Rhinolophus ferrumequinum: one gene and its partner. The protein of the gene in region 2 purifies or fractionates together with the protein of the main gene of each other region. This does not show direct contact. Links are inferred from orthologs where the notes say so. Each region holds a gene or a part of one and is shown on either strand. Other genes may lie near its edges. The genes, in order: AKT1S1 and MTOR.

Region 1 (3,912 bases), on a different chromosome or scaffold from region 2:
AGGGATTCAAACGAGGCTGTGATCCAGCTCACCGGGGTCATAGTAATTTGATTTCTATTCACAGGCCTTTTGTGACTCACAGTCATAGAAGCCAGTGCTTGCTGAGCACCTATTCTGTGCAGGGACTCTGCATCTCTCATCTCACCTCCTACCTGACCCACCAAGGTGGGAGCTGTCACCTCACAAATAAGACAACCAGAGTACAAGCCCTTGCCGCAAGCCACACGCAGTGACAACACAAACAGCACCTTTCCTGACAGACCCCATGGCAAGTTCATCCCCCACCTCCCACATGCCCGGCAGGGACTTAAGTGTGTCAACATTCTCATCACCAGCCCTGTGAGGGAGGAGCTGTTACCGCCCCATTTCACAGTTGTAACTGAGACCCAGCGAGAGTCAAGATCTTGACCAGGGTCAGACAGCTGGAGAGGAAAGCGGGAGACCTGGATCTGGCAGCCTGTTCTGAATTCCAAACGTCTTCCTACCTACCTTGTGAGGAAAGATTTATGATCACCTAGTCCAGATGGGGAAAGTGAGGCTCAAAGAGCTTAAGGCAGTGGCCCAAAGGTACACAGCTAGAAAGGGCAGAAGTGAGGCCGAAATTGCTGCCAGCCGGACTCCAAAACCAAACAGAACTGGGAGGTGCTCAAGGTCTCACAGCTCTTTGGGTCATCCCCATCTGATGAAGGAGGAAACTGAAGCTCAGGGCAAGGCAATGACTGGTCCAAGGTCGCACAGCCTGACAGTAGTAGGCCTGGGACTCTCACTTCTTTGGGACACCAGGATTAAACTCCTCTCTATCCTAGATCTTAGAGTGGCCAGAGAGTTGCAAAGAGTGAAGTGAGACTGAGTGGGAGTAAGGGTCCCCCCATCTCAGAGAGCATGGGCAAAGAGAAGGAGGGCAACTCACACAGACCTCTCTGCCAAAGCCTGGGGGCTCTCTGGAGTCAGTTACCCAAGAGGAGAGTAACCAAGATCTGGGGAGTCTCCCTTCTCTTCAGCTTCTATTGGAAGCCCTGTGTCCTCCAACGACCTGAGAAATGGAGGACCCCCTCCCCCAAATGGAGGAGTTTAAGATGAAGAAGAGAGGGAAACAATGGTGAAACCTGTCCCCCACAGGAGGGGTAAGGAGAGGTGAGTGGCCTCTTAGATGATGAAGTGAGGAAACTGACTCCAGGAAGAGGTGAGGAAAGGAAAAGTCCCCCAAGGAATGACGGATGTTAGTGAAGCCCCCTTCCAAACACCTGTCAAACTGAAAGTGCCCCGGCTCCAAGGTGGGGTGAACTGGAGGATGCACCCCGCAGCCGGGGGTGAACATCTGAGGTCTCTCCACCTCTCAGAGACCTACCCCACCTCTCCCGGGGACCAGCAAAGACCCTCTTCTCTAGAAAGAAAACAGGAAATCCTGCCCAGGTGGGGAGCATAACCGGAAGTCCCGCCTTTAGACGGTTGAGGGGCGCCCCAAGGTCCCCCAAGCAACCCTCCGACCCTATGGACACGGTCCAGTCAAAGTAAGGATCCTAATGGGTCTAGAGACAGGAAGGTAAGGCTGTCTAGGTTTTGCCTCGGGTCAGACACAACGGTTCCCGCCAGGGATCCCTTTCCAGCGCTCAGCGTACGGTCGCTGGGCGATCTCTTCCCTTTCATCTACGCAGGCCATACCCCTCTCGCTAGCGGTTCGCCCTCCCAGCGCCCCTCTCCTCCGGACCGCCAAGTCCTCCCCACACCGTGGTTCACAACGCCGCCTCCACTCACGTGCCCGTAGCCAGCATGGCCGAACCGGCGCCGTCGCCGCCCTCAAGAGACATGGCGGCGAATTGCGTCACTTCCCTGTGGTTGGCCCGCCTCCACTCTGCACACTCCGCCTCCCTTATCGGGCCGCCCGATACAAAGATGGCGGCTACAGGAGCTTCACCGGATCAGTGAGCCAACGGTGACAGCAGGGTGACGATAAGAAGGATGGGGAAATGCTTCAGTTTGTTCGGAAACAAACCGAGATCATTTCGATTTGACCCCAAGAAATATGGTCGCCTTGCACATACACATTCAGGACCACAGTAAACTAAGGCAAGCCACTTGACGTCCCTCATTTATAATCAACCTCTTCCACATAAGAAAAGCAGTGCCCGTTGATGACATGGCAGCCAGCCTGGCATCATTTGCCCTTAAGGTATATGGACTCTCCAGCCTATCCCCTTTCAGCACCAAGACTGGCAAAGATCCAACATGGCAGCCTTTCTTGCTTCGGTTTGCCCAATTTCAATATGGTGTCTCAGACCGCTTTCTTTCGACAGTGACTCATGAATTCGTCTGGGACCGCTTCGTTCCCGGGGATACTGACGGCTTCATCCCGTTAACCCGAGTTCTTCAGCGCCTCTTTTGCTGTACAGCTCCTCTCAACGTTGTTTTCCTTTCTCCGTTTCTCTTTTCCAGGACCCTGCCATCGCGCTCCGCAGAGCGATGGAACTGCCCCCCGTTGACATGGCCGCAGCTGACCCGCTTTAGTCGTGCCCTCAAGCAAAAGGGCATCTATTGGGCTTCGATGCCAGTATACAATATGGAGAAAGTAGTAGGCGTTTCGAAGCGTTTGGGTGAGGGGGTGGAGCTATTGGACCCGCCTCCTTGTTTACTTCGTGGAAAGGATGGTATCACTGCGCTTGCGCACCCTCGCTGGTCTCCACCTTTAGAGTCTGCGCCATATGACTTAAACCCTCGTGGTTCAACTTGGGCCACCCCATTCTGAAAGATGGTTACACCCACTCCTGTTCTAGAACAGGCAAAGGCACTACCACTGTCCGGGCTTGAGGGGAGTCTCCTATCCGGATATGACAGCATGTTGACCCGGAAAAGGAGGGACCCGAGACAGTGGGGCTTGGGCCGCGGCTATGGAGGGAGCCGGTTACAGGGTGAGTACTAAGTACGCACTTTCGCTTCTGTCTATATGGAACGCCCCCCCACAGTGGTCTGCTTTTCCCTCAGGTCGTGCCAGATCTCTCGGAGCCAGGCCGATCCTTAGCAAACACACCATTCCCTGGTGACGCGCTGTCACCCTTGCTTCCACTGCCCTAAGGAAGACCCATATCTTTTGGCCCCGCCCCCTGAGCTGCTGAGATATTCTTATGGACCCCGCCCCTTTTATAACACAATTCCCTACTCCTTCTCCCCTCTTTCCTTCCATCGCCCAGTATCCGGACGCCTGTCTGGTATGCAGGCTTCACTACTCGTAGTCCCATGCCCTTAGAAAATGGTTCCCCCAGGCCTTGCCCCATGGGGAATAGCTCCTCCCTGGGTCTACTCCCATTGGCTCCCTCCTGGGCCCCGCCCCTTAGGTGTCTTTCTGCTCTTGGGTCCCGCCCCTCACTGGTTCCTGTCCCCAGGTTGTGTTTGAGAAGGGAGGCGTGTACCTGCACACCAGTGCCAAGAAGCACCAGGACCCGGACTCCCTCATCGCTGGCGTCATCCGTGTTGTGGAGAAGGTGGGCTGGGATGGAACAGAGCGGGATGGAGGTGGCATCTGTAGGAGTATGGTCTGGTTGTGAGCTATGGGACCTTAGGATGATTGCGGGACTGGAGAGAGAAACGGAGCTTTGTCAGGCTGAGGGTCCAAAATGGGGAAGCAGTTTGGCAATATGGTTTGGGGAGTTAAGACGAGAGTCCTTTTAACACCGCCTTCCTTCCCTCAGGACAATGATGTCCTCCTGCACTGGGCTCCCGTAGAAGAGGCTGGAGATTCCACCCAAATCCTCTTCTCCAAGAAGGTAGGCTTCTCTTGCTCTGCCTTTCTCCACTTGCTTTTTTTCTAGGTCCAGGCAATGGAAGGCATTTGAAAAAGCTGGGTACAATCGCAGAACTACTCCTTGGGGCAGGTGTGACCCTTGCTGGTTTCCTCTAGTCTGTGAAATGGGGCTGAAG
Region 2 (3,912 bases):
GAATGCAGTGGGGAAAAGAAAACAAATTTTAAAAATAACTCTCTATGCTGACTCCTAAAATGTCACTACAAAATAGGAAATGCCACAGAACTGTGTAACCACGGCAAAGGAAATTGCCCATTCTATGACACGAGAAACTGGGTGCATCTCTCAAACAGAATCTCACTGAGCTGTCCAAAGAAATCTAAGCCAGTGATGGCACACTTTGCCCCAACACGCCAGGGATGGCCCCAGATGGCAGAAGCCCCCACCTCTCGAAGCTCCATGGTGACGTAGTGCTGGAGCTCCTTGGCAGCTTTGGCTCTGGTCTCCTCATTCCGGCTCTTCAGGCCGCTGGCAAACTGCTGCAGAACACTCACGTTGCTGGATGTGGTGGCGGCTGTGGTGGCGACAGCAGGTCCGGTTCCAAGCATCTTGCCCTGAGGTTCTTTGAAGAGAAGCTTCCTTTAAAATCCTGGTTAACAAACTAGGGCAGTGAGTTTATTTACGACTCCAGTTTCTCCATACCGATCTCCACCCTGTCCATGTCAGGCAGGGAGACTTCACTAAGGAAAGTGGAGAAAGCCACTATTTATTCAATAATGACTGATGTTTCAGAGGCAGCGTAGTAACAGGGTCAAATTGCCGGCTGCAGAGCCACACTACCTGCATTTGAATCCAGTCCAAAACTATGTACCTTGAGAAGATACTTGAAATATCTATTTCCTCCATTGCAATAGGGGAATACTACTACCTAATTCATAGGGTTGACGTGAGGATTAAATGAGTTAATACATGTTAAAAAGTATTTAAAACAGTGCCGGGCACACAGTGAGTTCTGTTAGCTATTATTATAGTGCCAGAAACTAGAGGTGGGGAGGTAGAGAGAGAATAAAACATGCCTAAGACTGCCTTTCCTCAGAGAGTTCAATTTAAAGAGGGAAATTTTTATTCCATAGCAGCATTGTCCAACAGAAATATAACACAAACCACAAATGTAATTTTAAATTTCCTAGTAGCCATATCAAAAAGGTAAGAACAGGCAATATTAATACATTTTATTTAATCCAATATACCCAAAATTATCATTTCAACATGTTACCAATATAAAAAATTGATATATTTTCCATTCTTTTTTGTACCAAGTCTCCAAAATCTAATGTATATTTTACACTTAACGGCAATCTCAATTTAGACTAGTCACATTTCATGCGCTCTAAGCCACATGGTTATTATTTCATGCGCTCTAAGCCACATGGCTGGTGGTTATCGTACTGGACAGTGCAGTTCTGTAGAATACTAGTACTTGAAATGTGAGCTAAAAGAGACTGATTAGTTCCTGAAACCATTCATTCATTCCTCAATTATGTACCTGTCCGTTCCCTCAATGAGCTTACAATCTAAGGGGAAATACAAGTAATCAGGCAACCACAATAAAGTGGCCAGAATAGGGGTTGGCCCAGACTGCTACGGGAGTAACATATATACCTAACTTAGGTATGTTCAGGTTATAGTAGAATATCAATTTTTCAAAATTCTTATTTTTGAAAGAATTTGCGATGTCAAGGGAAAAAAACACACGGAATCATTGGTTTTGAAAACCTTTTAAATACTCCAGTGCCAGAAAAAAGACTGCAGAAGGAAATGTCCTCCTCCAGGGGAGGGAATATCCAAGGATCCCTGATGAGAAAACTACTATAGGGTGTGTGACCGCGCCTCTGTGATGACGGGGAGGGAGGCTGGCAAGGAATTTCTATTCTCAGGAAAGAACCAGCCTATCTTTTTAAGGTCTAAGGCCCACAGGCCATCTGCTCCAGGCAGAATGCAATTAAAATGCTGGAAGTCAAATGCCCTAAGGGAACTGGGGAGGGCTTACAGAAGTTCAAGTTGGGTGGCTGAAACTAGGGATGGGGGCGGGGGAGGCAGAGGGATGAAACCCAAGGATGGAACCGAGCTCAGCTCCGGGTAAAGGTTCCTTGAGAAGTCTCCAGACTGGAGTGCAAGGGGCTGAGACTGACGCTGGTCTTCTCTGAGGACAATTTGTAAGGTGGCTCCGAAGAAGGGGTGACTGACGGACAAGGAGACCCAAAGGCTCCCCGATAGTACCGGAGCTGATGGGCCGGCCTTCGCGCAGCCAGAGACGCACGGCAGGCTCAAGGATCCAGGGGTCTCCTGGGGGTCCGGGAGGAGGTGGGCGTTGCCTCGCAGGGTGGGGGTTAAGGGCTCAGGCGGCGCCCAAGTCTGGGGCCAGTTCTGAAGGGACCCCAGGGCCCAGAAGGGCGGCTTCCCCGGGCCCTCCACAGACCAGGCTGGCTGTGGGTCTGGACATTCCGCCGCCTTGCATGGGTCGGTGCCAGGCTCCAGACTCACCGCGCGGCTTCGGCCAAGGCCTCAGCTGCCGCCACCAGCGCCGGTACCACCGCTTCAGGCCCGGGGCCCTACCACCCGCCTTCCTCGCTGTCCTCTAAGCCGGCGGCAGGGAGGGCTGGCTCCCAGACCTAAGAACCAATCGGCAGGCGTAAGGCGAAGATGGATTGAAACACACACCAATAGTAATGAAGGAGAAGTGAAGCTTCGGGACCCGGCTTCTCCAGGGGGCGGGGACTGCTCAAATAGACAAACTACGCGGCCAGTGGCAGGCGAAAGGAGGCTTAAGTCCACTCCGGAGAACCAATCAGTGGTGAGTTGACTTCAGTCACTTCCACGCACACATCCGGTGCATCGGTACTATTATTCCCCTCTGCCTCGGAGCTGCGCCGTGCCTAGTCGGCTGCCTGGTAGCGGCGGTAGGCGGGGGTTCGCGAACTCGCCCGGCTTAATTCTAAGAGGAGTGTGTTTCCAGACTAGCGCTACTTATGGACCCGAGAATCTTTTCATTGCATTGGTTCTTCTGTGAAAATTGTTCCTCTGAATTTCACATTGTTTATTTGTGTTCAACATCTCTATATTTAATCATTAAACATTTTCCAATATAATGTATTCACTGTTCAAATCTCAAAATAAATAAAAATTACATTTATCACAATATATAATTTTGTGCTCCACCCCTGCCTCTTCACTACTTATTTTCTTACTTAACATATCCCTAGATTTTATTTATGTAAATACAAGCAAGTATAAACATTTTTATTTTCCCCTTTTGTTATACTATATACACTGTTCTGCACTTTTTTTTTTAAAGATTTTTTTATTGGGGAAGGACTTGATTGGGGAAGGGCTTTATTGAAGAACACTGTATTTCCAGGACTTTTTATTGGGGAACAGTGTGTTTTTCCCAGGACTCGTCAGCTCCAAGTCAAGTTATTGTCCTTTCAGTCTTACTTGTGGAGGGCGCAGCTCAGCTCCACAGTCACCGTTGTTAGTTGTAGGGGGCGCAGCCCACCATCCCTTGGAGGGAGTTGAACCGGCAACCCTGTGGTTGAGAGCTCGTGCTCTAACCAACTGAGCCACCTACTGATCCCTGTTCTGCACTTTTAAAATTTTAGTGTACCTTAGAGATCTTTCTATCTTACTATATAGAAAGCTTCCTTGTTCCTTCGTTGTTGTTATAGCTCCATAGTAGTATTCTATTACATGGATGTACCATAATTTATTTTTCGAGTCCTCTGTTGATGGACACTTGTGTTGTTTCCAAATTCTTGCTATTACTAATGATGCTGCAATGAATTCCTTTGTACATATGTATATAATTTTATTCCCTGGCAGCTATACCAAAAAATCCAGAAATGGGTATCCAGGGTCAGAGGGTAAATGCACGTGTAGTTTGATGGATATTATGAAATTGATCTCTATAAGGGAGGTACCAATTTTCATTTCATATGAAATTTTTGCCACTCTAAGACACGATAAGGCTCTGTTTTCTAACTGACAAAGATGGTTTTATAGCAACAGTAACCAGTGCATTTGTAGGTTTCTTTTTCAAGTTTACAAAGA

The links.
Region 1: the proteins of MTOR (region 2) and AKT1S1 purify together in Homo sapiens (affinity purification with western blotting; 8 studies listed by BioGRID and IntAct, with this or other methods). This does not show direct contact. The link is inferred for Rhinolophus ferrumequinum from reciprocal best matches to the Homo sapiens genes MTOR and AKT1S1.

What each region holds. Positions count from the first base shown.
Region 1 is NC_046298.1:44,905,150-44,909,061, forward strand, and holds the start of AKT1S1 (proline-rich AKT1 substrate 1), read right to left. Parts: upstream 2,484-3,912; 5' UTR 1,809-2,483; coding exon 1,756-1,808; exon of another isoform or gene 1,663-1,755; intron 1-1,662. Other genes in the region: TBC1D17 (TBC1 domain family member 17), read left to right, coding at 2,886-2,906, 3,378-3,476, 3,684-3,758. UniProt on the Homo sapiens protein: Negative regulator of the mechanistic target of rapamycin complex 1 (mTORC1), an evolutionarily conserved central nutrient sensor that stimulates anabolic reactions and macromolecule biosynthesis to promote cellular biomass generation and growth.
Region 2 is NC_046292.1:7,570,712-7,574,623, forward strand, and holds the start of MTOR (serine/threonine-protein kinase mTOR), read right to left. Parts: upstream 2,482-3,912; 5' UTR 2,350-2,481; intron 428-2,349; 5' UTR 414-427; coding exon 252-413; intron 1-251. UniProt on the Homo sapiens protein: Serine/threonine protein kinase which is a central regulator of cellular metabolism, growth and survival in response to hormones, growth factors, nutrients, energy and stress signals.